Regions from separate parts of the Mus musculus genome. Here all the other regions are reported to be linked to region 2. Evidence: microRNA targets listed by miRTarBase, many of them from high-throughput screens and not tested one by one. Region 2 holds a microRNA gene; each other region holds the end of a gene's coding sequence.

Region 1 (9,555 bases), not on the chromosome of region 2:
ATAAGGTATTATTTTCGACTTTAATTCTATATTCACGTGCAGGTGTTTCTTTTGTAGGAATTTTTAATCAGCTAAAATGAACAAACTGGCATCAAACCAACCAAATCCCTTGAATATATTCCAGTAGGAAATGCTTCAGTCAAGGAGGCAGTTATTGTTGGAAGGCAGTAGATGCATGCGTGAGTGAGAGGCAAACCTGTAGTATATGCCTGCAACCCCAACTATTCAGGAGGCTCAAGCTAACTTTGAATGTATATCTGTATCCAGTAATTCAATATGTAGATATTTGTCTTAATGAAAACATTTGTAAAGGATGTGCAGTTACATATACTAGGCGAGTTATAAATTGCTATTTATTTTATTGAAAAACTGGGATCTCCTTCTTGAATTTCTCTTACTTCCATACTACCTATTCTACTTTGTTGTGTTAGAGGACTGTCTGAACTGTTCATTTTGTTTAATGTTTTTTCTGTAGATAAATTTGTTTTTCTTTTAGTGTTATCCCTGATGCGATGGATGATACCAGGAAAAGGCTGGATTCCTGTTACATATAGCATTTTTATACAGTAGAAACATACAGAAACTGCTTAATATCTGTGTAATAACTAGAATCACTTTATGTATGATTGGTAGTTTTTTAAATAATGATGTAGCTTTGTTTTAACTTCAGGTGATTTTTTTTTTTCACACAAGAGAAAACAAGATAGAAAACTGTATTCTATGCACCTGCTTTTGGTACAAGCTATGTAATTTATATATAAAAATATGTTTAAATACTAGGATAGTTTATACTAAATTATAGTGAAATTAGCATGGGAATTCTGTCTATGATCAATTTTTAACTTTTAGTTTATTTATTTATTTATTCATTTATTTATTTATTTATTTATTTATTTATTTTTAGTCAAGGTCTCACTATGTAGCAGAGGAACTTGATATGTAGGTAAGGTGGGTCTCAAATTCAGAGTCGGATTGCCTCTGCCTCCTGATTGTGGAATTAAAAGTATGTGCCATGTGCAGCAAATTCTAATATCTTAAACTTTTAATACACATGCATTTTCTAATCATGAGATTAAAAAGAAAATAGGATTGTACATTATTCCATTATTATTTTAATCATAATTAGCTATCCAAAAGCTAATTAAAAGCTCTTATAAGCTAGAGGTAATATGGTATCATTTACGTTTTTAAAATATTTGTACTTTTGTTCCTTGTCTTCACTGGTATCTTGGTTTGTTATTTTTCTGCAACACTATTTTACTTGTTTAAAACAGGCCATTCAGAAGGGCAATACAGAAGTTGCAAGAATACATGCTGAAAATGCAATCCGTCAGAAAAACCAAGCAATCAATTTCTTGAGAATGAGTGCTAGGGTTGATGCTGTGGCAGCCAGAGTTCAAACTGCAGTAACAATGGGCAAGGTAAGACCAAACATCTGTCAATCAAAGTAATACTGACAGAGTTTAAGGAAAAGAAGAAGATTTACATAAGCCACAAGTCGGTGTCTTTTGCATGATATTATAGGATGTAAATAAAGGACTTCATAGAAAATTGGATTTAGTGAGGAAAAGTATTTTGTCAGTGAACTTTTCAACCATTTTTACTAAGGAAACATAAATAATATAAAATATTACCTATACCAAGATGCATAATGTAGTTTTACTGTGAAAGAAGTTATGGACAAGTTTCCTAAGTTGATATATTAGCAGTGTGCTTTGAAGATTAACAAGTTTACATGTTGCTCAATCGGTTTTGAATTCCACATAGGTGACAAAATCCATGGCAGGTGTAGTTAAATCTATGGATGCTACATTGAGGAGTATGAACCTTGAGAAGGTAAGCTCTAAAGAAGTACCATTCTCACTTGATGTTCCGCTAACATCTTTTCAGGATACATTTTTCTAACGACCATATCTTTATAGATTTCTGCCTTAATGGACAAATTTGAACATCAGTTTGAAACATTGGATGTTCAGACACAGCAAATGGAAGATACAATGAGTAGCACTACTACCCTTACGACACCACAGGTAAGAGTAACATCTTTACTTTCAGTGGTTTCTTAAAGCTGAATCGATCTGGCCATAGTGACACATGCTTGCCTATCATAGTACTTAGGAGCTGAGGCAAGATTTCTAAGAGGTTGAGACCAGCCTGTGCCATGGAGTAAATTCCAGGCCAGCCTGGGTTGCCTGGGCCAGCCTGGGAACCACTGTCGAAACACAAATCACCTACTTTTAAAATATAATGGTTTTATGAACATAAATCATCTCCTTACCTTGAGAAACATAGCCCAAGTGCAGGTGGTAAGCTTGCTACTGCTCTGCCCTCAGATAGTTAAGAATGTTTTAGAGGATAATGTTACCTAGCACCGAGTATGGTTTGGAATTCTGGTGATTCTATTAGATCACATATATAGAATCTAGAACCTGTTTCCACATGCTGGCTAATACTCTTATCTTAATAACACAATTTAATAGGTGCATAATATTGGGTAACATGATATTTTGATACATAGATTGTTTAATGTTTAACTCAGTGCCCACATATATACTTAAACATTTGATGTTTTTGCTCCAGTCTAGTCTAGAGTCTGCATATAACATACATACATCTCATACAATATTAATTGCCTTTTAATTACAAGGAATGCCTAGCACAATATAAATGCTGTAGTTCACTTTCTGAGTTGTTGAAATGCTAATAAGGAGAAAAGTCTTATATTATGGGTACAATTTCTTCTCTGATTGTTTATGTTTTGCAGTTGGCTAAGCCTACAGTTAAACCCGCATAGGGTTCTGTGCCATAGATACATAATATAAGTATATTTTGTCTGTTAATATTTTTGTCAAAAGTCAACATAATGCCAGATTTGTATTATTTTATAGAATAACTAATTAAGCTAATTTAAATCTATTACATACAACCAAACTGGGTTCTACTGGAGCTTTATAAGTTGGATCACTCCCATGCAGTATTACATTACTGAGATGTGAGTCTGACTGGCAGCATTGTTCAGACAACTTCAGTATTAGACTTTAAAGCTTAACATTCCCGAAAGAACAGAGACAGCTTGTCCTACCACTTTACAGTACTTGGAGCTAGGGAAGGAAGGGACCAGGAGCACACACTAGGCTGCCTGCATCAGCCCTTGAAGTACCACAGCTTAAATGTTCTAGGGCCGTCCCCTTCCACTGTCACTGTCGCCAGTGAGAAATGGTTTCCCTCAGTAAAGAAACTTATCAGACGTTTACATTTGCACATCTGCCTCAGCCACTAAGAGCCCTAGAGAAGCACATCTGCAACCTTTAACCTCTGACCCTCAGGAGAAATGTGATTTTAGCCCACAATTATGAGGGAACGATAGACTAGAAAAGGTTCTTGGGGAAACAGGCCAAGACAGGGCCTGGTCAATTAATTATTATCAAGTTAGAGTGAAAGACAGTAAACTGCTTTTCTTCAGTTTTTGTCTTCTCTCTTCTCTTTGATGTTTTGCTATTTCCTTGTGGCTTAGAATATAAAATAATTTGTTAATATTTGTTTTGAACAAATATTTTTCCCATAAAAATAAAATAAAATAAAGCGTAACATTCAAGTTGCTGTCTGAAATCGTGTAGCGCCCCCTTGTGGCGAAAATATTTTTTTCTGTTTTTTTTTTAATTAGGTATTTATTTCATTTACATTTCCAATGCTCTCCCAAAAGTCCCCCACACGCTCCCCCATCCACTCCCCCACCCACCCATTCCCACTTCTTGGCCCTGTCGTTCCCCTGTACTGAGGCAGATAAAGTTTGCACGACTAATGGGCCTCTAAAATATTTTTAAAGGATTGTTTTAAAAGTTTTGAAGGGCAAGAAGTTTGTGTGTGTGTGTGTATGTGTTGTTTGTTTTATTTTACAAAAGTTTTATTATTTTACTTTTGATTATGTGGGAGTGAGGGAACTGTGTACTAGTGATAACATGTTCCTGTAGAGGACAGAGGCTTTATCTCCCTCAGGTTTTGGAGTTAAAGGCAATTGTGAGCCTCTAGACATGGTTACTATAGCCCCTATTTTAAACGTTAAAAATAAGTTTCCCAAGCAAAACCAAACCCAAAAGCCATCCAACAACTAATACTACAAAACTATGAATTCATGTTTTCTTATTTTAGAACCAAGTGGATATGCTGCTCCAGGAAATGGCAGATGAAGCTGGGTAAGGTCCTTTCACTCAAATCCTTTTAAATAATCTGCATTTGACATTTAGAGGTCTTACATGTTGATAATATGAAGTTAGTATTTTGCTCAGAGTTTCTGCCTAGTATATGTGAAGCCCTGGACTGAAAAGGTATACGTCCTTCTAAAAATTTGCTATGGAGTGAAAAATTTGTCTTTAAACCCATTCATCCAGCTTGGAGTTTTGACATTTTATAGAGATACTGTTTCAAGGTCTTTTAACAGTTACCCCCCCTTTTCTAGCCACACACACACACACACACACACACACACACACACAAATGTGAATTTTCAAACCATAATGACATCAACTCCAGCAAGCCTCTGGAGCTAGATTCAGTCAGCGGTTGATGTTATGAAATACTTGGAGATGGTCCAGAGGTAAGGCCATAGCACCATTTCTCCCAGTTGTGACAGCTATATATGTGTTTAGATATTGCTAGCTGTTTCTTGGGAAAATGAGACCAGTATTGAGAAATTAATTAATCAGTAACTGAAGCAAGAGAAGCAGGTAGAACAACTGATACAGAAACATTAATTTCCAGTATTAAGGACTTTTAGATATCTAGTTGCTTGAGTTAACAATTCTCATAATGAAATTTTAGTATAGGGTATGTTTGCCTTTCAAAAAAAATCTGCCAATAGCATCCCTTAATGCCATTTAAAATTACTGTTTTATTTGTATAGTTTTCCTGTTAGAATACATTATTTTCGAGACAAATAGAAAAATAGTTTATATCCTAGAAGAATAGTACAATAGAGATTAAGGTCATGAAGCTTACAGGTAAACAAACAACAGCCCTAGATCTACACATGTGCTATCTCATTCACTGGGGTGATAGGAACTTGGGACACCTGCATTAATTCTTTAAAAAAAAACCCACAGGGTTGTAGATCCCTTTATCTCCTTGGGTACTTTCTCTAGCTCCTCCATTGGGGGCCCTGTGATCCATCCAATAGTTGACTGTGAGCATCCACTTCTGTGTTTGCTAGGCCCCAGCCTAGTCTCACAAGAGACAGCTATATCACGGTCCTTGCAACAAATGCTTGCTAGTGCATGCAATGGTGTCAGCATTTGGAAGCTCATTATGGGATGGATCCCTGGATATGGCAGTCTCTTGATGGTCCATCCTTTTGTCTCAGCTCCAAACTTTGTCTCTGTAACTCCGTCCATGGGTCATTATTTCCAATTCTAAGAAGGGGCAAAGTGTCCACACTTTGGTCTTCGTTCTTCTTCAGTTTCATGTGTTTTGCAAATTGTACCTTATATCTCGCTATACTAAGTTTCTGGGCTAATGTCCACTTATCAGTACCCCGGAGCTCTTGACTCTAGCTGCATATGTATCAAAAGATGGCCTAGGCGGCCATCACTGGAAAGAGAGGCCCATTGGACAGGCAAACTTTATATGCCCCAGTACAGGGGAACGCCAGGGCCAAAAAGGGGGAATGGGTGGGTAGGGGAATGGGGGGTTGGGGGACTTTTGGGATAGCATTGGAAATGTAATTGAGGAAAATACGTAATAAAAATAAATAAATAATATGCAGAAACAGAAAAAAAAAACATTGTGTAGTTGGATGAAATCCTTGGTTCTTCAAGGTCCCCTGAATCAACTGAGCAAGGCTCATATGAGCTCACAAAGGGTGAAGCAGCAAGCATAAGACCTACGCAGTCTGCACCAGGTCCTGAGGATATATGTTTCAGCTTTCAGCTTAGTATTGTTATAGGACTTTCGAGTGAATAAAAAAGCGGGTCTCTGATACTTCTGCCTGATCTTGTGGCTCCTTTCCTTCTGCTGGGTTGCCTTGTCCAACCTCCATGTGATGGTTCATGCTTCACTTTACTATAGATTATTTGGTTATATTTACTTTTTAAGTCTTAGAAGCCGATTATTTTCTAATGAGAGACAGAAAGGGAGTAGATCCAGAGAGGGGAGAAAAGGTGGGGAAGAACTCGGAGGGAAAACTATAATCAAGATATACTGTAAGAAAGAGGAATCTATTTTCGATAAACGGAAAATTATGCTTTGGATTTAAAAATAATGAAACTAAATAAAAAATAAATAGAATGAAAAAAATCTAAATTTTTTTCATCAAAAAAGAGAAATTATTGGTTCTACTAAGAGAATTCAGGAACGGAACACTGAACTAATCTGGCTCCTAAAGCTTCTGTAGCTCAAGGAAAGTACTTAAAACCACCAGTCACATGTTCAAAATGATTCTGAAGACATTCAAGTTCTATTTACATGTAAACATGCTTTGATTTGTACTTAAAATAAAAGGTTATAGTGCTCTCGTTTACAGTGCCTATATGATCATTGTAAAATGTCTATATTAACATTCTTTGATTCTGATTATTTTTAATTTTGTCTTTATTCAGCCTCGATCTCAATATGGAACTACCACAGGGTCAGACAGGGTCTGTTGGTGCAAGTGTTGCTTCTACAGAGCAGGTAGAGATCGAATTTTATTTTAATTCATGTACCTGATTTATATTTAAATTAAAATTTAGAAAATGTATATTTATATGCAATATATTTGCATACAAGAAAACATATTCACATTTTTATGAAGAATATTTTTCTACCATGATACATCATTATAAATGAAGAAAATATGAGAAACCATTAGCTCTGTAATGGTGGGCATTTTCAATTTGCATGCACATTTCATTTCTTACATTGTTTTGCTAACCTTCATACTGCTCTAAATGCAGTTTCTTTTGAGATATTTAAAAAACTAATTGCCTAACATTTATATAAATTTCATAAGCTTTTAAATTCTATTTACAATGGAAGAGGATTAAAATTTTGTGGCTAATATTTGTTACAGCCTTTGATAATTTGTAAATTTGGCTTCCCCTAGGATGAACTGTCACAGAGGCTTGCTCGTCTTCGTGATCAAGTGTAACTTAAATAACTGGTGCTTCTGTTCCTCCACATATTTCTGAGCCATCATTTGTGTGTGTGTCTATAGATAAGGTGTATTCCAGTTACAAAAACATCATACATGACAGGATGTTTGGACATCATTTCTATAAGATGCTTTCTTTTGCCTTGTGTATTTCACAGTGCATTGCGAAATTCCAAGGAATTTCCACATTGGCAGATTTTATAGTTCTATATATTGTGTGTAAAAGTGTGAGGGACATATTTTTCTAGATGTCTTTGGCAAAGCTAGCATTAGTTTTCTGTATATTATACATCTTCCGCAAATATTAGAGCAAACATCTAGCACCAAAGTAATGCTAAGTAAAGTAATTTTGTCAGAATAATGTATAAAGGCTTTGTTTTTACTTATTGAAAGTAACTTTCAATTATTGTCTGTGATGAATTTTGATTTTGTAAAAATAAAAACAGGAAAGCATGTTCATTTAATATGTTCGCATAACCCAGACCATCTTATTTTAAGTATCACAAGATAGACTATACAATTTCCATGGGATTTTTGAAAATTATTTCTATTTTGTATGTATGGTTGTTTTGCCTGCATGTTAAATTGTGTACTCACTTGTGTGTCTGGTGCCTACAGAGGCCAGAAGAGGACATTGGATTCCCCAGGAACTAGAGCTATAGACAATTGGGAGCCAACATGTGGATACTAGAATTCAAACCCATTTCTTCTAGAAGACCAGCCAGTGCTCTTAACTCCTGAGCCATGTGTCTAGCCTCTGTTTTGTTTCGTTGCTGTTGTTGTTTTGCTTGTTTATTTTAGAGACAGGGCAGAAATATATAGCCCAGAGTTCCCTGAAACTCAGTGAGCCTCCAGCATTGGTCTCTAAGTATATACCACCATACCCAGCTCATTTTCTATGATTTGGGGGTGGGGGTTGTTATGCACATTAGTTATTTTTTCTGTTTCTATGATAAATAACCGTGCTCAAAAGTGACTTATGGAAGAAAGAAAGTATTTTGGTTTATGGTTCCAGGGAAATGAGGGCTCCATCATGGTGGGGAGGTGTGGCAGCAAGAGCAGGTAGCTGGTACATGTTTAATGACACACACAAAGCAGAAAGAACAGGCTGCCAGTGTAACAGACCTAGAAGCTCTCAAAGCCAGTGACATACTTCATTTAGTAAGGTTGCATATCTCCATACCTTCTCCATAAGGCACCACCAACTGGGAAACAATTATTCAAGTACATGAGTCTATGGAAAAATGTCTCGTTCAGACCACTGCATTCCTCTCCCTGGCTTCCATAGACTTATGGCCATATCATAATGCAAAATGTATTTACTCTGATGCTTAAAGTGCCCATGGTCTTTCTCAATCTCAATACTATTTGAAATTTCAAAGTCCAGCATATCTTGTGAGACTCGAGACAATCTCTAGCCACTGATAAGATCTAAAAGCAAATAATATACTTCCAACATACGATGGCACAGGTTACACATTATCATTTTAGAAGGGAGGAAGGGGGACATGATGAGGAAATACTGGACTACAGAGAGACTGAAAGCTCACAAGGCATACATATAAGCAAATCCTGTAGCTCTATGTGGGATGTCTGGGACTACTTTCCGAGGGTTTGGATGGCTTAACTCCTCCAGCTTTGCTGCCTGATTTAATAGCTCACTCTCTAGTAACATCTTCTACGTTAGTTACTTCTCTGTTGCTGCGATTAAGCACCATGACCAGAAGCAATTTATAAATAGAAGAGTTTATTTTGGCTTACAGTTCCAGAGGGATAAGAAAGTGTGCACCATGGCAGGGATGCATGGTAGCAGGATCAGGAAGCCAAGAAATCATGCTTTCTATTATGCTGTACACATGACGCAGAAAGAGCCAGCTGGAAGTGTGGCAAGACACTCCCAATGCCTGTTGCTGGTGGAATAATTCCTCCAACAGAGTTTGTACAATGACCTGTACCATAACCTTCCCAACTGGTGAACAAAGTTTCAAATATGTGAGCCTATAGGAGACTCATTCAATTCAGAACATTATGTAAAGAGAAACAGAGTAAATATTTACTTGGTTTTAATCCACTGTAAAGTTTAAATCATTATAGTTTTTAGCCAGTAATTTAATGATGACTGTTCATTAATTTTTAAGACCTTTTAATGGACAATTTATTATATAACTAGGAAAATTCTGCAACATTAATCCAAAGTTTGTATTGGGATACCCTAGATATCCATAGAAGAGATTTGATGGACAAAAGTATTTATGACATAAAGAATGTGTTCTCTGTTGGTATGAATTAAATAGTTTCTGTTCTTTTAACTTGAATAAAAAATTGTTAGATTTATTACTACCACTTAGCTCCACAACTAGCTGTTCATTCTTTTATGTTGCAACCATGTCAGACTTACCTTTTAAAATATTACTATCAGGGCTGTAAAGTTA
Region 2 (10,735 bases):
TCTGGAGTTCAAATTCATGTTTAACTTCATGATGAGTTAGAGTTCATCATGCGATTCATGTGATGCCCAACAAGAATGTGCATGTGTGTATAGCTGTGTGCATATTCACTTCTCTATATGAATATGCACATACACGCAAGCACACACAGGAATGGCACTCATATATCCTTTTGAATGGTATGTGACTTAGAACTTTAGAGCTTATGCAGTACTGATCAAGAGCTATGTCTCAGTTAGGAGGTTAAGTACTCTTGCCAGAGTCAGGAGGATGAGGAGTTCAAATTCATATTAAATTCATGATGAGGTAGCAATCAGTCTGGGATTCATGTGATGTCCCCCGTTTATGTGCATGTGTGCAGAAGTGTATGCATGTACATGTGTTTATGTGAATATACATATACATACACACATATACACACACATGCAAACATACATGTAGGAATGGTACTCATCGATGCATTTTAATGATATGTGACTTAGACCTTTGGAGATTATGTATGACAGGGCCAGTGTCAATTCTCACACACCTGGTGAAAACCCTTGTTAGAGTCAGGAGGTATAGGAGTTGAAAATCATGCTTAACTTCATGAGGAGTAAGAGATCATCCTGGATTCATGTGATGCCCCCTATATATGTGCATGTGTGTATACTTGTGTGTGCATGTATATGTGTCTATATGAATATACATATACATACACACCCATATACACACGCATGCACGGAAACACAAAAACATAAACATAAACACAGGAATGGCACTCATTGATCCATTTGAATGATATGTGACTTAGAGTCTTATAGATTATGCAGTAGTGTGTCAATGAACGGTCTCACTCACCAGGTGAAAGTTGTTGACAGAGTCAGGAGGATCAGGAGTTCATATTCATGCTCAATTTCAGTTAGTGATCATCCAGACATTCATGTTATGCCCCTCATGTATGTGCATGTGTGTTTACGTGTGTGTGCATGTGCATGTGTGTATATGAATATATGTATACATACACACACACATACACACGCACGCAACACACACACACACACACACACACGACACTCATTTATTCATTTGAATGATATGTGACTTAGAGTTTTAGAGATTATGTAGTACTGGGCCAGTGAGTGCTCTCACTCACAAGGTGGAAATCTTGCCAGAGTCAGGAGGATCAGGAGTCGAAATTCATTCTCAACTTCATGTTGAGTCCGGGATCAGCTTCTGATTCATGTGATGCCCCCAGTGTATGTGCCTGTGTGTATATGTATGTGTGCATGTGCATGTGTGTATATGAGTATACATATACATACGCACATACCCATACAAGCATGCACACAAACCCAAAACTGCCACTCATCGATCTATTTGAATGATATGTGTCTTAGAGTCTTAGAGATTCTGTATGACTGGGCCAGGGAGAGGATTCACTCACCAAGTAAAGACCCTTGCCAGAGTCAAGATAATCAGGAGTTCAAGGTCATGGTAAAGGCATGATGAGTTAGAGGTCATCCTGGCATTCATGTGATTGCCCCTATGTATGTGTGTATGTGTTGATGTGTGTGTACATGTACATGTGTGAATATGATATACATACATGCACACATAAGACACATATGAGCACATAGACACACAGGAATGGCACTCACTCATCAATCTATGTGACTGAGAGCTTTGGAGATTATGTGTGACTAGGTCAGGGAGAGTTATCACCCATCATATTAAAAATGCTTGTTAGAATCAGGAGGTCAGGAGGTCAAATTCATGCTTTATTTCATGATGACTTAGAAATCTGCCTGGGATTCATGTGATGCCCCCATGTATGTGTACATGCGTGTACCTGTGTGTGGATTGTGTATATGAATATACATATCTACACACGCATAGACATGTACACAGACACACAAACATGAATGCAACTCATCGATCCATTTGAATGACGTGTGACTAAGAGTTTTAAGATTCTGCAGTACTGAATAGGGAGAGGTCTCACTCAGCAGGTGAAATCCCTTGCCAGAGTCAGGTGGTCCTGGAGTACAAATTCATGTTTAACTTCATGATGAGTTAGAGTTCAGCATGCGACTCATGTGATGTCCATCAAGAATGTGCATGTGTGTATAGTTGTGTGCATATTCACTTCTCTATATGAATATGCATATACACGCATGCACGCACAGGAATGCCACTCATATATCCTTTTGAATGGTATGTGACTTAGAGCTTTAGAGCTTATGCAGTACTGGGCCAGAGCTATGGCTCAGTTAGGAGGTGAGTACTCTTGCCAGAGTCAGGAGGATGAGGAGTTCAAAATCATATTTAATTCATGATGAGTAGAGATCAGCATGCGATTCATGTGATGCCCTCCAAGAATGTGCATGTGTGTATAGCTGTGTGCATATTCACTTCTCTACATGAATATGCACATAGCTGTATGCACACATACTCACAGGAATGGCCAGAACTATGTCTCAGTTAGGAGGTGAATATTGTTGCCAGAGGGAGGAGAATATGGAGTTCAAATTCATGTTTAACTTCATGATGAGTTAGAGAACAGCCTGGAATTTCTGTGATTGTCCCCGTGTATGTGTATATGTGTATAGGTACGTGTGCATGTAAATGTGGGTATATGAACATGCATATATATATATATATATATATGTGTATATATATATATATATATACATACATACATACACATATACACACACATATGGACACATACATGTGCACACAAACACACATGGTAGTCATCCATTTGATTTATGCATGCTTAGAGTTTCATTGAGTGTATATTCATGGGATAGCAAAACATCTCACTTACCAGATGAAAACTGCTTGCCAGAGTTAGGAGTCTCAGGAGTGCAAATTCATGCTTAACTTCATGAGCAGTTAGAGATCATCCTGGAATAATGTGATGGCCCCTATGCATGTGCCTTTGTGCATAAGTGCGTGCATGTATATGTGTGTATATTTTATGCATATACATACACACACCTATACACACATGCACACAGACATGCGAGAATGGCCCTCACGGATCCATTTGAATGATATGTGACCTACTGCTTTGGAGGTTATGTATGACTGGGCCAGGGTGAGGTCTCACAAACCACGGGAAAACCCTTGGTAGAGTCGGGAAGATCAGGAGTGCAAGTTCATGGTAAAGGCATGATGAGTTAGAGGTCATCCTGGCATTCATGTGATTGCCCCTATGAATGTGTGTATGTGTTGATGTGTGTGTACATGTACATGTGTGAATATGATATACATATACATACACGCACACATAAGACACATATGAGCACACAGACACATGGGAATGGCACTCATCAATCCATTTGAGTGATAAGTGACTTAGAGTGAAAATGCTTGCTAGAGTTAAGAGTATCAGGAGTTCAAATTCATACTTATCCTCATGAGAGATCAGCCTGTGATTCCTCCATGTATGTGCATGTGTGTATAGTTGTGTGTGCATGTTCATGTCTATATTTGAATATACATAACATACACACACATGTATAAACGCAAGCACACATACACAGACACAGGAATGGCATTCGCCAATCCCTTTGAATGATAAGTGATGTAGAGTTTTAGAGATTATGCAATAGGGGACATTGAATGGACTCACTCACCAGGTGTAAAAGATTGACAAAGTCAGGAGGATAAGGATTGCAACTTCATGCTTAACTTCATTTGGAGATTATCTTGGTATTCATGTGATGCCACCCATGTATGTGCATGTGTGCTTACTTGTATGTGCATTGCATGTGTTGACATGAATATACATAACAAAAACACACGTGTATATGCAAGCACATACACACAGGAAAAATTGCATTCATTTATACATTTGAATGATATGTGACTTAAAGTTTTCAAGATTATGCAGTAGTGGGACAGTGAATGGTTTTACTCACCAGGTGTGAAAGACTGTGGATCAGGAGTTCAAATTCATGCTTTACTTCATGATGACTTAGAGATATGCCTGGGATTCATGTGATGCCCCCTATGTATCCCTATCTGTATCTGTTTCTATTGTGTGTGGATTTGAGTATATGGCTGTACCTATCTACACAAATATATACATGTACACAGACACAAACAGAAACACACACACAAACATCAGTGCAACTCATCGATCCATTTGAATGACGTGTGACTTAGAGTTTTAAGATTCCTCAGTACTGAATGGGGAGAGGTCTCACTCAGCAGGAGAAATCCCTTGACAGAGTCAGTTGGATCAGGAGTTCAAATTTGTGCTGAATTTCATGATGAGTTCATGACCAGCATGGGATTCATCTTATGCCCACCAAAAATGTGCATGTGTGTATAGTTGTGTGCATATTCACTTCTCTATATGAATATGCATATACACGCATGCAAACACATTCATAGGAATGGCCAGAGCTATATCTCAGTTAGGAGGTGAGCACTCTTGCCAGAGCTAGGAAGATGAGGAGTTCAAATTCATGTTTAACTTCTTGATGTGTTAGAGTTCAGCATGCGATTCATGTGATACCCACCAAGATTTTGCATGTGTGTATAGTTGTGTACATATTTACTTCTGTACATAAATATGCATATACTCACATGCAAACATACTCCCACGAATGATCCGAGCTATGACTCAGTTAGGAGGTGAATACTCTTGCCAGCATCATGAGGATGAGCAGTTCAAATTCATGTTTAACTTTTTGGTGAGTTAGAGATCAGCCCGGAATTCATGTTATTTTCCCTGTGTATGCGTTTATGTGTAAAGGGAAGTGTGCCTGTACATGCGGGTATATGAACATGCATATATATAAACACACCTAGGGACACATACATGTGCACACAAACACACATGGCAGTCATCCATTTGATTTATACGTGCTTAGAGTTTCATTGAGTGTATATTCATGGTATAGGGAAACATCTCATTTATCAGATGAAAACTGCTTGCCAGAGTTAGGAGTCTCAGGAGTTCAAATTCATGCTTAACTTCATGATGAATTAGAGATCACCCTGGATTTGTGGGATGGACCCTAGGTATGTACATGCCCATATATTGTGTGTGCACGTACATGTGTATATATGATCATACATATAAATACACACACATACAAATGTATTCACACACACAGGCATGCACACTCACACACATAAGAATGACACTCATTGATCCATTTGAATGATATATGTCTTAAAATTTTGCTGATTATAAAGTAGAGGGACAGTGAATATTCTCACTCACCAGGTGTAAACAATTGTCAGTGTCAGGAGGATCAGGAGTTCAATTTCATGCTTAACTTCATGAGCAGTTAGAGATCATCCTGGAATAATGTGATGGCCCCTATGTACGTGCCTGTGTGCGTAAGTGCCTGCATGTATATGCGTGTATATTTTATGCATATACATACACACACCTACACACACATGCACACAGACATGCGGGAATAGCCCTCACGGTCCATTTGAATGATATGTGACCTACTGCTTTGGAGGTTATGTATGACTGGGCCAGGGTGAGGTCTCACAAACCACAGGAAACCCTTGGTAGAGTCGGGAAGATCAGGAGTGCAAGTTCGTGGTAAAGGCATGATGAGTTAGAGGTCATCCTGGCATTCATGTGATTGCCCCTATGTATGTGTGTATGTGTTGATGTGTGTGTACATGTACATATGTGAATATGATATACATATACATACACGCACACATAAGACACATATGAGCACACAGACACATGGGAATGGCACTCATCAATCCATTTGAGTGATAAGTGACTTAGAGTGAAAATGCTTGCTAGAGTTAAGAGTATCAGGAGTTCAAATTCATACTTATCCTCATGAGAGATCAGCTTGTGATTCCTCCATGTATGTGCATGTGTGTATAGTTGTGTGTGCATGTTCATGTCTATATTTGAATATACATAACATACACACACACGTATAAACGCAAGCACACATACACAGACACAGGAATGGCATTCGCCAATCCCTTTGAATGATAAGTGATGTAGAGTTTTAGAGATTATGCAATAGGGGGCATTGAATGGCCTCACTCACCAGGTGTAAAAGATTGACAAAGTCAGGAGGATAAGGATTGCAAATTCATGCTTAACTTCATTTGGAGACATCTTGGTATTAATGTCATGCAACCCATTTATGTGCATGTGTGCTTACTTGTATGTGCATTGTATGTGTTGACATGATATACATAACATAAACACACGTGTATCTGCAAGCACACACACACAGGAAAAATTGCATTCATTTATACGTTTGAATGATATGTGACTTAAAGTTTTCAAGATTATGCAGTAGTGGGACAGTGAATGGTTTTACTCACCAGGTGTGAAAGATTGTGGATCAGGAGTTCAAATGCATGCTTTACTACATGATGACTTAGAGATATGCCTGGGATTCATGTGATGCCCCCTATGTATCCCTATCTGTATCTGTTTCTATTGTGTGTGGATTTGAGTATATGGATGTACCTATCTACACAAATATATACATGTACACAGACACAAACAGAAACACACACACAAACATCAGTGCAACTCATCGATCCATTTGAATGACGTGTGACTTAGAGTTTTAAGATTCCTCAGTACTGAATGGGGAGAGGTCTCACTCAGCAGGTGAAATCCCTTGACAGAGTCAGTTGGATCAGGAGTTCAAATTCGTGCTGAATTTCATGATGAGTTCATGACCAGCATGGGATTCATCTTATGCCCACCAAAAATGTGCATGTGTGTATAGTTGTGTGCATATTCACTTCTCTATATGAATATGCATATACACACATGCACACACATTCATAGGAATGGCCAGAGCTATGTCTCAGTTAGGAGGTGAGCACTCTTGCCAGTGTCAGGAGGATGAGGAGTTCAAAATCATGTTTAACTTCATGATGAGTTAGAGTTCAGCATGCGATTCATGTGATGTCCACCAAGAATGTGCATGTGTGTATAGTTGTGTACATATTCACTTTTGTATATGAATATGCATATACTCACATGCAAACATACTCCCACGAATGGCCCGAGCTATGACTCAGTTAGGAGGTGAATACTCTTGCCAGCATCATGAGGATGAGCAGTTCAAATTCATGTTTAACTTTTTGATGAGTTAGAGATCAGCCCGGAATTCATGAGATTTTCCCTGTGTTTGTGTTTATGTGTATAGGGAAGTATGCCTGTACATGCACGTATATGAACATGCATATATATATATATATATATATATATATACATACATATATATATATATACACACACACACAACTAGGGACACATACATGTGCACACAAACACACATGGCAGTCATCCATTTGATTTATACGTGCTTAGAGTTTCATTGAGTTTATATTCATGGTATAGGGAAAAATCTCACTTATCAAATGAAAACTGTTTGCCAGAGTTAGGAGTCTCAGGAGGTCAAATTCATGCTTAACTTCATGATGAGTTAGAGATCACCCTGGATTTGTGGGATCGACCCTAGTTATGTACATTTGCATATAATTGTGTGTGCACGTACATGTGTATATATGATCATCCCTGTAAATACACACACATACAAATGTATTCACACATACAGGCATGCACACTCACACACATAAGAATGACACTCATTGATCCATTTGAATGATATATGTCTTAGAATTTTGCTGATTATAAAGTAGAGGGACAGTGAATATTCTCTCTCACCAGGTGTAAACAATTGGCAGTGTCAGGAAGATCAGGAGTTCAATTTTATGCTTAACTTCATGAGCAGTTAGAGATCATCCTGGAATAATGTGATGGCCCCTATGTATGTGCCTGTGTGCGTAAGTGCCTGCATGTATATGCGTGTATATTTTATGCATATACATACACACACCTACACACACATGCACACAGACATGCGGGAATGGCACTCACGGATCCATTTGAATGATATGTGACCTACTGCTTTGGAGGTTATGTATGACTGGGCCAGGGTGAGGTCTCACAAACCACGGGAAACCCTTGGTAGAGTCGGGAAGATCAGGAGTGCAAGTTCATGGTAAAGGCATGATGTGTTAGAGGTCATCCTGGCATTCATGTGATTGCCCCTATGTATGTGTGTATGTGTTGATGTGTGTGTACATGTACATATGTGAATATGATATACATATACATACACGCACACATAAGACACATATGAGCACACAGACACATGGGAATGGCACTCATCAATCCATTTGAGTGATAAGTGACTTAGAGTGAAAATGCTTGCTAGAGTTAAGGGTATCAGGAGTTCAAATTCATACTTATCCTCATGAGAGATCAGCCTGTGATTCCTCCATGTATGTGCATGTGTGTATAGTTGTGTGTGCATGTTCATGTCTATATTTGAATATACATAACATACACACACACGTATAAACGCAAGCACACATACACAGACACAGGAATGGCATTCGCCAATCCCTTTGAATGATAAGTGATGTAGAGTTTTAGCGATTATGCAATAGGGGACATTGAATGGTCTCACCCACCAGGTGTAAAAGATTGACAAAGTCAGGAGGATAAGGATTGCAAATTCATGCTTAATTCAGTTAGAGATCATCCTGGTATTCATGTGAGGCCACCCATGTATGTGCATGTGTGTTTACTTGTATATGCATTGCCTCTGTTGACATGATATACAAAATATAAACACACGTGTATATGCAAGTACAGACACAGAGAAAAAAATTGCATTCATTTATACGTTTGAATGATATGTGACTTAAAGTTTTAGATTATGCAGTTTGGGACAGTGAATGGTTTTACTCACCAGGTGTGAAAGATTGTGGATCAGGAGTTCAAATTCATGCTTTACTTCATGATGACTTTAAGATATGCCTGGGATTCATGTGATGCCCCTATGTATCCCTATCTGTATCTGTTTCTATTGTGTGTGGATTTGAGTATATGGATGTACCTATCTACACAAATATATACATGTACACAGACACAAACAGAAACACACACACAAACATCAGTGCAACTCATCGATCCATTTGAATGACGTGTGACTTAGAGTTTTAAGATTCCTCAGTACTGAATGGGGAGAGGTCTCACTCAGCAGGTGAAATCCCTTGACAGAGTCAGGTGGATCAGGAGTTCAAATTTGTGCTGAATTTCATGATGAGTTCATGACCAGCATGGGATTCATCTTATGCCCATCAAAAATTTGCATGTGTGTATAGTTGTGTGCATATTCACTTCTCTATATGAATATGCATATACACACATGCACACACATTCATAGGAATGGCCAGAGCTATGTCTCAGTTAGGAGGTGAGTACTCTTGCCAGTGTCAGGAGGATGAGGAATTCAAATTTATGTTTAACTTCATGATGAGTTAGAGTTCAGTATGCGATTCATGTGATGCCCACCAAGAATGTGCATGTGTGTATAGTTGTGTATATATTCACTTCTGTATATGAATATGCATATACTCACATGCAAACATATTCCCACGAATGGCCCGAGCTATGACTCAGTTAGGAGGTGAATACTCTTGCCAGCATCATGAGGATGAGTAGTTCAAATTCATGTTTAACTTTATGATGAGTTAGAGATCAGCCCGGAATTCATGTGATTTTCCCTGTGTTTGTGTTTATGTGTATAGGGAAGTATGCCTGTACATGCGCGTATATGAACATGCATATATATATATGTATATATATGTATATATGTATACACACACACACACACAACTAGGGACACATACATGTGCACACAAACACACATGGCAGTCATCCATTTGATTTATGCGTGCTTTGAGTTTCATTGAGTGTATATTCATGGTATAGGGAAAAATCTCACTTATCAAATGAAAACCACTTGCCAGAGTTAGGAGTCTCAGGAGTTCAAATTCATGCTTAACTTCATAATGAGTTAGAGATCACCCTGTATTTGTGTGATGGATCCTAGGTATGCAAAAGTGCATATAATTGTGTGTGCACGTACATGTGTGTATATGATCATACATATAAATACACACACATATAAAATGTATTCACACACACAGGCATGCACACTCACACACATAAGAATGACACTCATTGATCCATTTGAATGATATATGTCTTAGAATTTTGCTGATTATAAAGTAGAGGGATAGTGAAGGTCTCACTCACCAGGTGTAAACAATTGGCAGTGTCAGGAGGATCAGGAGTTCAATTTCATGCTTAACTTCATGAGCAGTTAGAGATCATCCTGGAATAATGTGATGGCCCCTTTGTATGTGCCCGTGTGCGTAAGTGCCTGCATGTATATGCGTGTATATTTTATGCATATACATACACACACCAACACACACATGCACACAGACATGCGGGAATGTCCCTCACGGATCCATTTGAATGATATGTGACCTACTGCTTTGGAGGTTATGTATGACTGGGCCAGGGTGAGGTCTCACAAACCACGGGAAAACCCTTGATAGAGTCAGGAAGATCAGGAGTGCAAGTTCATGGTAAAGGCATGATGAGTTAGAGGTCATCCTGGCATTCATGTGATTGCCCCTATGTATGTGTATATGTGTTGATGTGTGTGTGCATGTACATATGTGAATATGATATACATATACATACACGCACACATAAGACACATATGAGCACACAGACACAGGGGAATGGCACTCATCAATCCATTTGAGTGATAAGTGACTTAGAGTGAAAATGCTTGCTAGAGTTAAGAGTATCAGGAGTTCAAATTTACACTTATCCTCATGAGAGATCAGCCT
Region 3 (10,735 bases), not on the chromosome of region 2:
TCCTCAATTACATTTCCAATGCTATCCCAAAAGTCCCCCACACCCTCCCCCTGACATCTTATTTTTTAACTGTTTGCAATTCCATGTTAAACCAAGAGTCTCCACTGGATCAATAAACTCAGCCTGATCCAGTTTTATGTTCCTTCTACAAGTATCCCACCATTAAAATCCATTCACACACATATACCCCCAGAGTTCTACTTCAATGAATTAACAAACTCATTAGCACCCCTTCCTCATGGACTATACTTTCTACCTCCCCACTAAAAGTCTACTTAGCCTTTATATGTCTGGAAGCCCATTGGTGTGCCCTGGGGAACATCAGTATTGTCTTACCATTGTCTCCTTCAGGGAGTTACTGCTGCTTTAGTAGACTATAAAGGATTGATTTCTGTTGGAATGCACTGTGTGAAGGTTGCCTTATATTATTCAACTGTTAATACTGTGCCAGCAGAGGATGAGTACTGGCTGGGTTTTGAGGACAGAATTTATAGAATGAAAAAGGGGGGAAAGAAAGGGAAGGAGGAAGGGAGAGAGAGAGAGAGAGAGAGAGAGAGAGAGAGAGAGAGAGAGTTATTAGAACGGTTTACAGGCTGTGGTCCAGCTAATCCAACAATGGCTGTCCATGAGTGGAAGCTCCCAGAATCAAGTAGTTGTTCAGTTCATGAGACTGGGACATCTCAGCTGGTCTTTAGTATACACGGGAATCCTGAAGAAGTAGGCTATAATGCCACTGAAGGAATAGACTTGTCTGCAAGAACAAGCAGCAAAGAGAGAGCAAGCTTCCTTATTCCATATCCTTTATATAGGCTAGCACCAGAATGTATGGCCTGGACTAAAGGTATATCTTTCCTCCTTAAAAGATCAGGATTAAAAGTGAATCTTACCACTTCAAAAGATTTAATTGAGAAAAAATTCCTCCGCAGGTGTACCGATCTGTTTGGGTTTTATTTGATACCAGATGTAGTCAAGTTAACAAGCAAGAATAGCCATCACAGGTGTATTTTCTATCTGTTTGCTCTCTCTTAAAGAATCCAGGTACTGTAATATATATTTTTTATAATTTTCCCCACATCATTAATTTCCAGTTTTCCAGCCCACAGATCTCCTTTTTATCTTATCACAATACTTCTCTCTAAATTCTTTCTCCAGTAGACTATTCCATTTCAACTTAAATTGCTTTAAATTCATTATGGAGAAAAGTAAAATTGCTTGTGTCTCCCAGGTTACCTTCATTTCTGTCAACATTCTTAGCTCACTAACAATATACTTCCCATCTTCATAGCCAGAAACCACTGTGTCTTTATTACAAACCCCCAATCATCTGTGTAGTATTTTTTCTCTTTTATGTGGATTTGTTTGCATACCAAATTCTTCCTAGGATCATCATAATCCCGTTCCTTAAAATGTAATATGCACATGTGCATGGTGTGTGAGGGGTGGATATGCCAAAGCCTATGCAGGTCAGGAAACAGCTCCAGGGAGGTGATGCCCTCCTCCACCTGTGGAAGCACATCACCTGCTGAGCCACCTTGTCAGCCCAGAGGCTTTGTTTGTTTTTGTTTTTATGGCACTGAATCTTTGTCTCCACTTGGTATCAGTGATGCTTCCTTAGGCAATGACTTTGGAAGTATTCTCTCTTCTAATTTATGGAAGAATTCAAGATGGTTTTTATTTTTTATCTATTTTTGATCCATTGAATTGACAGTTGTCTACATTTGTCTTATTTAATTCCCAGGAATTGCTCAAATAAACTCAAATAAACCCCAGGTTCTTAATCCTTCATCATGACTTTTTCAAGGCCTCTTTGTTTTTAAGCAATATTGTTAATGACCCCGAACATCAGAATTTGTCACACAGACACCCCTATGAGTCCTAAACCATTCACAGTTCATCAGAAGAAAAGCACTGCCTGCAATGACTTTATTAGTATCAATAAAACATTATGACCACTAAGCTGTGCTCAGATTTTGGTTAAATATGAGTAGGTGACAAAGAAAACCCTTTAAGCAGCTGAACTTAGTGAAAATTGCTTTAGGTCTCCTTGGCCAGCCATTTTGTCCAGGCTGGCATTGTCTGGCATCGTTCCCCACACCCAGCCCAGGTGTGGTTTTTTTGTTTTGAACTTTTTTTCAGAGAAGAGTGGATTGTAGATTGTGATGGTTTGAATATGATTTGCCCATGGGAAGTGACACTATTAGGATGTTTGACCATGTTGGGAAAAATCATCACCGTAGGAGTGGGTTTTGAGGTCCTATGCTCAAGTTCCACCCCAGTGTGGATGGGAGTCCCCTCCTGGATGCCTGAAGAAGACAGTCTCTTCCTGGCTGCCTTTGGATCAAGAGATAGAACTCTCAACATTTCCAGTACCATGTCTGCCTGCACACTGCCTTGTTTCCTACCATGATGATAATGGACTAAACCTCTAAAACTGTAAGCCAGCTCCTGTTGTGGAAAATATTAAAAAAGAAAAAAAAAATAGATCCCGTACATTCCCACACTTGTGTTTCTGTACCAGAGGTCTGGCTGGACATGCACTGGCAGGCAATGGCTGACCTGTTTTTATCTCATGAAGATTCTGACTCAGAACTCCACAGTCTTTCCACCCAGCTTGCTGTGGGGAGTGGGTGTGATGGTAGTCCCAAGATGGCACCCAGGACTGCATCCAAGTCTTATGACTTGCACCTGACTTCCTCATACACCCGAAAATAAGCCACATCCATCTTGAGAGCTGTGCAGGCACACTATGATGCAAGATCAGGCCATTTAACAAAGGCCAATGAACTGAGATTACTCGGGCTGGGCTGATGGGGCGTGGTTGAGAGGTTATATAGGGGATTGCGATTGGGGGCTAGTGAGAGATTCCTGCTTGCATGTTGAAAGGTTCCTGAATAAACTACTTTGAGAAGAACGCTGTGTCGTCGCTCTTTTCTGCTGGTCGGAGACAGAAGAGACAGCTTGCTAGGTACCTGCTGACATACATCATTACCACCTCAACCCCTTGCTTCAAATCTCCCATGGCGTTTATAGTGCACATCTGGCAAACCCATCCTTTGCCACTGTACCTTTTTCTCTCTTGAATCCAGACAAGCCGCCATGTGAAGGAAAACACAAAGTAATTTCATAAACAATGGTAACTCAATCTCTGGATGCAACAACTAAAACCTAATCTTGTAAGCCTTATTAAAATCTGATTCCCCTAGTGTCCAAACCTTGCAGATCTGCCATGGTACCAGAAAACTCTAGCAGCTACATCATACCCATATGCTATTCCCATTCCAAAAGGGCTGTAACTCTCTCCTGCTTCCCCTCTTCCAACCTAGAAGTCCTGCCTACCTGCCCAGTGATTGGCTCCTTTATTCATTAGGAGATTGGTCCACAAGAAGTCATTTGAGAATGACTCACTTCTTGTCCACAACCCCTCCCAGGAAAGCAGAATTAACATACAAACAGGACCAGGCCCATTCACAACAAGCCCCAATGAACTGCTTTCCTTTATAAGAGCTAGCTTGATCATGGTATGTCTTCAAAACAATGAAACCCCAACTAAGACACAGATCACTGACATAAAAGAAAACAATGTAAAACAATTAGAACAACTTAAAAGTGCTACCCCACTCACCATTGGAGTTGCCACCCTGGGCTGATAGTCCTAATGATAAAGGAGGCTGAACATGCTCTGAGAAGCAATCCAGTAAGCAGTACTCCTTTACAACCTCTTACCTCTAAGTTCCTGCCTTCAGTTCCTGCCTTGCCCTCCCTGGAGGATGAACTCTAAGCTACAAGATGAAATAAACCCTTCCTCATCTCCAAGTTGATTTTAGTCATGGTGTCTTATCAGCAATAGAACCTAGCTAACACAGTTTGCAATGGCAGACAGGTCTCTTGGAAAAAGTCAAACTGATGTACACTACCTTCTGGAATGCTTTCCCAACAAGCATTCTGAAGCAGACTCTGTGAGAAGCTGAGCAAGGGATCCAGCAACAATATCTGCTACTGGGCAAGAATGGGGTGTGGAGGCATTTGTTGAAATACAGCCGAAATTCTTGACTAAGACATTTGTGAATTAGCATTCTGAATATAAAATAAAATACCACTTTCACTTTCATTCATCTTTAGTTTTTAATAGCAAATAAGAGAAATAAAATATTGTTAACAGTTATGACTCATGTTAACAAAAATCTGTGCTCTATAGGAAATTCTTTGTGAATTCAATATCAAGGTTCAATGCCATATGTCTTAAATTCATTGTTCATAAAGGAGCATAGAAATCTTATGTCACTTTTTCAAATAACACTGTGAAATAGACTCAGCTATTGTTTTAAATTGTGTTAATTTGCACATATGAATGTATTTTTATATAATACATATTTGAATTAGACACATGTACATGATAAACATGTCAGACCTCAATGCTGCACTCTTGTGTTCAGTGGAAGCCACCATTAATTTTCTTATAGGTTAAAAAAAAGTCTATTCATATACAAATATATGGGGATAAACACATATATATGTACACAGAGTACAGGGACACACATACACACTCTGTCCACAATGAGAACATACTATATAGATGGTTTAACAATCCATTTTCTATACTTAACAATATAACAAGTATCACTCACTATCAACACATTTTCAGCTGTTTTCCACTTTTTTATGAACCTCTTAACAAAATCTAGACAAAACCCCTTAAAGTTTTCTACTGAAGTCTTTAAATCTAGCACTTGGGAGGCAGAGACAGACATATCTCTGTGAGTTCAAGGTCAGCCTGGTCTACATAACAAGTTCAAGGCCAGCCTGGTACACGTAACAAGTTCCAGGCTAGCCAGGACTATATGGTGAGATATTGTCTCAAACAAAACAAAACAACTCCCGAAAGTTTTCTACTAATTCAGAAGCTAACAGAGACATTAACAAAGAAAGCTAGACAATACCAGAGGATACCCTCACCCTCACTTGTATTTTACACAAGGCGGTAAGTATGCAATAAGAATAAATACAAATTAAATACTAACTGTGGAGCTTAAGCACACACCTAGAAAGTTCATGAAGTGTCATATTTTACTGTTTGTTGCTCTAATTCGTTAACATTTTCACAACTGTGTGTGTGTCTGTGTGTGTGTGTCTGTGTGTGTGTGTGTGTGTATCTGTGTGTGTCTGTGTGTGTGTCTGTGTGTGTGTCTGTGTGTCTGTGTGTGTCTGTGTGTGTACATGTGTCAACCTTGAGTACTGTTTCTCAGGAACCCTCTACCCTATTTTTAAAACAGTTCTTTTTTCTTGTGACCTATGGCTTGCAAATTAAATAAGTCTGGTTGGTCAGGAGTTCTCAGGACTCTCCTGTCTCAACTTTCCCAATTGTGAGATTGCAAGAGCATGCCCCCACATCTAGCTTTTTATCAATCCTTAGGGATGGAATTCAGATCTCTGTACTTGCTTAACAAGCACTTTACTGATTATGATATCTCCTTATTCACTCTTTTAAAAGATTCGTATTTTAATCTAAATATGGAGACAATTTATAATAAGTGTAAAAATACAGTATTTTCTGTTTAGGTTTGGGATCAAGGTTAAATTTTATTACCATCTTATGTAAAGATCCATATTCAAATTCTCTCATGTATCACCAGGAATGATTTCCTAAAAAAAGATATTCTAACATCATCAAATTGAGAACATCTTTAAGGTTAAATAATACCAAACCAGTCAGTTGTCAGGTTTCCTACATTAATCTTCTTCCTCAGATTGTTCTTCTGAGTGAATTTTCATATGTTTGGTAAGAGAGGCATTTTGCTTGAAGGCTTTACCACATTCAATACATTCATAGGGTTTCTCTCCAGTGTGGGATCTCTGATGAATAACAAGTTGTGATTTTGCATTGAAGGCTTTTCCACACTCATAACATTCAAAGGGTTTCTCCCCTGTATGAGTTCTCTGGTGTACGATGAGGTGTGACTTCTGACTAAAGGCTTTCCCACATTCAACACACTCATAGGGTTTCTCCCCTGTGTGAACTCTCTGGTGTTGGGTAAGGCCTTCAATCTGTTTAAAGGCCTTACCACATTGATTACATTCAAAGGGGCAGTCACCTGTATGAGTTCTCATATGGTAGGTAAGAGATGAGCTATGTCCAAAGGCTTTCCCACACTCATCACATTTATAAGGTTTCTCCTTTGTATGAGTTCTTTGATGTATAACTAGGTGTGACTTTTTGCTAAAAGTTTTCCCACATTCATTACATTCAAATGGTTTCTCCCCTGTATGAATCCGCATATGTTTAGTCAGGGATGAGCCATACTTGAAAGCTTTGCCACATTCGTTACATTCGTATGGTATTTCACCTGTGTGTGTTCTCACATGTTCAGTAAGAGATGAATTATATCTAAAGGATTTGCCACATTCCTTACATTCATACGGCTTCTCACCCGTGTGAGATCTTAGGTGTTGCATAAGGTTTGAGCTGTGTCTAAACGTTTTGCCACATTCATTACATTTGTAGGGCTTTTCTCCAGTATGGATTCTTAGATGGTCAGTGAGGGCATGTTTATGTCCGTGTGCTTTGCCACACTGTTCACACTCGTATGGTTTTTCCCCAGTGTGAGTTCTCTGATGTACAACAAGGTGGGACTTCTGGCTGAAAGCTATCCCACATTCATTACATTCATATGGTTTCTCCCCAGTGTGAGTTCTTTGATGGTCAAGGAGTCCCTGTTTATGGCTGAGGACCTTCCCACAGTGGTTACATTCATAAGGTTTCCCAGAACCTGGGGCTTTTTCAGGTTTAGATGGAGTACGGCAGTGTGATTTCCGTTTCTCCCCGGTCTGAATTTTGTCTTCCTTGGTATGGGATGCACTATGACGGCATACTTTCTCACATTTTTTGCTGGTTTGGTTTTTGTCACCTTTATCAGACAACTTATTGTTGGGTAACTTGTCGCATTTCTTTCTAGTTGGAATTTCATCTTTGTTCACATCAGATGCAGAATGGCTGAGTGATTTCCTGTGGTCATTAGCTGTGTCAGGTTTCTTTTTCAGAGAGTCTGAATTCTGATTCGAGTTCTTCCCACGGGAACTGGACTTAAGCAGTTTTTTCTCGGAAGGAGTGTGTTTTGAGTGGAGACTTTTGTTCTCCAACAAACCATACTCACTGCTTTTCTTGCTGTTGGAACTTTTCTTCCTGAGTGTCACTTCCTTAGTAAGTTTGCTTTGGGACTTCTGCTTTTCCTCCCTATGCTCATCATCTTGTTGGAGTTCTAAAACAGAATTAGAGACATTCTTGTGAGTTTCTGCACTCCCACTCAAGTACTTTATACGTTTCTTAAAGAGATGCCCTCCTTGTCTGGGGTTGAAAACTTACTCAACCCTAACTAGCAATGTAAAATAAGCAACAAGAACAAATGTCACTATCCACTTGGACCTGATGGGAAGAAAGCGATAGTAAAACCAGGGGAAAGACCACTGAAGTAGTCATTAGGAAATGAGTTGGTTGCTTAGAAATAAGATTTTGTAACCTTGGATAGAAGGTAAATAGACACAAGGAATACTGAACAGGCAATGCATTAAATTAAAAAAAAATTTGTGATTATGCCAGGTGCGGTGGCACATGCCTATTAATCCCAGTACTCAGGAGGCTGAAACAAGATACTCTTTCATATGTTTGAGATCAGTCTGGGCTACATAACAAGGCATTACTAGTCTTCCCATTGTGATTAAGATGATATGATGTAAGTACTACAAAAGCCATACTTATCCTATGTAGTGAAAACCTCTTCAATACAAAGAATAAAACACCCACACACAGAAAGAAGCAGAAATGTAGGACTATTTGTTCTCAAGAGCATAGTGTGCATAACTCCAATGCCCTTGTGACTTCCAGGTTGCCAGTTTTTGTTCCTGGTGGAGTTTGGCTAAAGTCTCTTCCCTTGGCTTATAAGAAGGGTACTCATGAGCTCTTCGATAAACCCCTCTCTTTTTACTAAGGCTCGCTAAAATAAACTAAAACAGAGAATACATCTACCAAGGAGAACTGAGGAACTAGTGGGTGACTGTGGCTCTAAGCAGGGGAGGCTGTTCCTCCCTCTCTTCCACAAGCAACATAACAAGGACATTCTTACTAAACAATAGATGACTCTGTAGTTCCTCTAAGTTCCCTAACTATTTTACAAAGTCATGAAACTCCTAGCAATTAGCTTGGGAAATGCTTTACACCATCTGCATTTACAGTGAGCATTTACCTGTTTTTCCAGTGACCTGTGGAGTACATGCCTTTGATCCTGTCACCATTCCAATACTTGATGGCCAAGTCCAAGTTTATTTATGGCTCTAAGTACTTGCTTATGTTCTTTTCCCTACACATTGCACAACTATACATCTTAAAACATTGATCTTCTCTAAGACTACTCAGTAATAGCTCTCTGCATAGAAATAAAATAGGGAAATCATCTGACTTAAGAATTTTAAACATTTAAAGAGAGAAACAGATGAAAGAGTGAATAGCCACCTCAGTGATAAAATAATTTTATATGGAGAAAATAAGGGTATCTGAATGGATGAATGAAATTCTCTCCTTTATGGAGGACATTTAAGAGACCGTGATTTGGGGTAGGCTATTGTGGCACACATCTTTAATCCCAGCACTCACAAGGCAGAGGCAGGCAGATCTCTATGAGTTCCAGACCAGTCGGAGCTACATAATAGAAATTCATGTTAGAAAAATAAGAGAGAGACAGAGTGACAGAGATGCAGACAGACAGAAACAGACACAGAAAGGACAGAGACAGGAGACACATATACAGACAGAGAGAAACACTCAGAGGCAGACGAGGGGTGGAAATTAGATATAGTAGGGTAAGGGGGAGTCCAGAAAAGCTGAACTGTTAGCTGCTATTTCATCCAAGGACTCAAGAGATTCAGCACCCTGTGATAAAGAGATAAACAGGGCCCTCCAGGTAGCACAGCACACAAAGTCTTCTGATACGCAGTGATGATGGGGAAGACAGGGACAAATTTCCTTCTCAAAGTGGTCAAGGCTTACACTTATTCTCTTGACATGTAAGATTAAAACAATCTTTGCCTGTGTGTATACATGTTCACTTGTATATGTGTGCACATATTTGTAGCAGAATTTTCCGTGTCCAATCACTTTAATTATTAATACAACAAAAAGCCTGTGATTGAACATGGAAAAGGGAGGTGGAGTGAAGAGTTGCAGAGATGGAGCCAGAGGAGATAGGTAGGGAGAGGAAGAAAGATGGAGCAGGAAGAAGACAATCTAGATTCTGTATGGCTTTAAATAGCTACAGGAAGCTATGAATATAATAAGATGATAGAATAATTGGGATAACTTGTCTAATCTAGGTGGGCAGCTTGTTCATTATCAATTGGCTCATTATCAACTATTGTGTGGCCATCTTGTGAATTGATAATGTATTGACATATAAATCTGACTGGTTAATTATATGCTTCTAGAGTTTTGTTTTACTGGGTTAATGGGTATTGTGATATGCCCTTCCCCAAGCTTTGAGCGGGCTGAATCAGACCTTGTCTACCACAGGATAGCCAACCTAGGGTGGAGTCTTCTGACCTTAGGTAAAATCTACTGTCCTGCCACATCTGCAGCTTCCTGCAAGAAGCCACTACCTGCTGAGCAGCTGAGCTTGTCTTCCTGACCAGCTCCTGACAAGGTGGGGAATGGGTTTCCACCCTTTAAAAATTCAGACTCAAGAATTAAAGTTGAGCCTTGATCAGAAAACTTTGTCTTTGCTCATTATTTCTTTCCTTTCAGGAACCCAGTAACCTGTGGTCACTAGTGGATACAAGTGCACCTGAACAAGGGACCTGAATACAGAAAAAATAACTGAGGGACACTGTCTTGGTGGAGCTCCACAGAAAACAGAAGAAAATGGTATCCTGCATGGTAAACAACATACAGGATTAATGTTAGCGATACAAATTTGATCTTTGGAAGGCTGTTGATTGCAAAGGTACAAAAAGGATACAGGCTAGACTGAGTCAGCGTCAGCCCAATGCTAATATCAGCTAAGGGTTGACAGTGGAAAATGGGACTGGAAGATTCTAAACAGGCATTTGTCCACAGTCAAGAACTGCATCCGGCAAGAGTAGTAGGGCTTAGAATAAAATAAAATAAAATAAAATAAAATAAAATAAAATAGTAAAAAAACAAACAACAACAAAAGGAAGATGCTAGATATACAAATGACATAAGAGAGAGATCAAGAGAGAAGAAAAATGGATTTCTTCTCTCCCAGAGCTCTCCCAGAGACAGAAGGAAATCAAGAGACGTCCTGCTTTCTATCTGGCCCATACAGGAGACATCCTTAGTTCTGGCTACATCAAGTTCTCTACCCTCTCTGTATTGTCTGTCCTTAGTGCACCAATCTGTCCACGTGTCAGTTTGTGTCTGTTTTTGTTGCATTGTCTGAATGACTGTTGTTCTGTTTCATGTTGAAAAGAAAAAAGTGGTTAAATCTTTATCTGCTGGCTCTCCATCCTTGATTCAGTCTGTTTGCATAGAGGAGGCTGGTTTAAGTTGCCCCCCATCCTTAGCCAGGAGTCAAGCACAGCAGAAGAGGCCATGCTGAAAAGCTGCTTTTAAAGGGGTCAGCAGCTTCTTATGTTCTAAGGCAAATAAGCTGATAGCTATTTTTTTTTCCTAGAAAAAAATCTCTGCAGTTGTGGTTATTGGGTTCAGCAAATGACAATGTACTTTTTCTCT

The links. Region 2 holds the annotated microRNA mmu-miR-669a-3-3p (ACAUAACAUACACACACAUGUAU, at 3,487-3,509, shown strand). A microRNA usually pairs through its seed, bases 2 to 8, with sites in the 3' UTR of a target mRNA and lowers its output. Matches are read on the target gene's strand: a 7mer-m8 pairs with bases 2 to 8, a 7mer-A1 pairs with bases 2 to 7 and ends in A, and an 8mer does both.
Region 1: miRTarBase lists 2610002M06Rik as a target of mmu-miR-669a-3-3p. Seed matches in the 3' UTR shown: 7mer-m8 at 8,041-8,047.
Region 3: miRTarBase lists Zfp37 as a target of mmu-miR-669a-3-3p. Seed matches in the 3' UTR shown: 7mer-m8 at 4,780-4,786.

What each region holds. Positions count from the first base shown.
Region 1 is chrX:107,785,374-107,794,928 of GRCm38, reverse strand. It overlaps 2610002M06Rik (RIKEN cDNA 2610002M06 gene), which reads left to right. Exons shown (of 8, transcript NM_025921.3): 3 at 1,275-1,421; 4 at 1,768-1,836; 5 at 1,923-2,030; 6 at 4,150-4,193; 7 at 6,591-6,663; 8 at 7,076-9,555. The coding sequence ends at 7,120. It also overlaps a transcript of Tent5d not described here. Among named protein-coding and RNA genes, the nearest start is that of 2610002M06Rik, 26 kb to the left of the region's middle.
Region 2 is chr2:10,471,010-10,481,744 of GRCm38, forward strand. Mir669a-3 (microRNA 669a-3) reads left to right here and starts at 3,424; the gene lies at 3,424-3,532. All of the region lies in intron 10 of Sfmbt2 (Scm-like with four mbt domains 2), which reads left to right. Mir467c (microRNA 467c) reads left to right here and starts at 2,922; the gene lies at 2,922-3,018. Mir466b-1 (microRNA 466b-1) reads left to right here and starts at 3,210; the gene lies at 3,210-3,291. It also overlaps Mir669k, Mir467a-1, Mir466b-8, Mir669d-2, Mir466f-3 and Mir297a-2, and 9 more genes.
Region 3 is chr4:62,185,437-62,196,171 of GRCm38, forward strand. Zfp37 (zinc finger protein 37) reads right to left here. Exons shown (of 4, transcript NM_001290351.1): 4 at 4,101-7,253. The coding sequence ends at 5,728. Among named protein-coding and RNA genes, the nearest start is that of Zfp37, 18 kb to the right of the region's middle.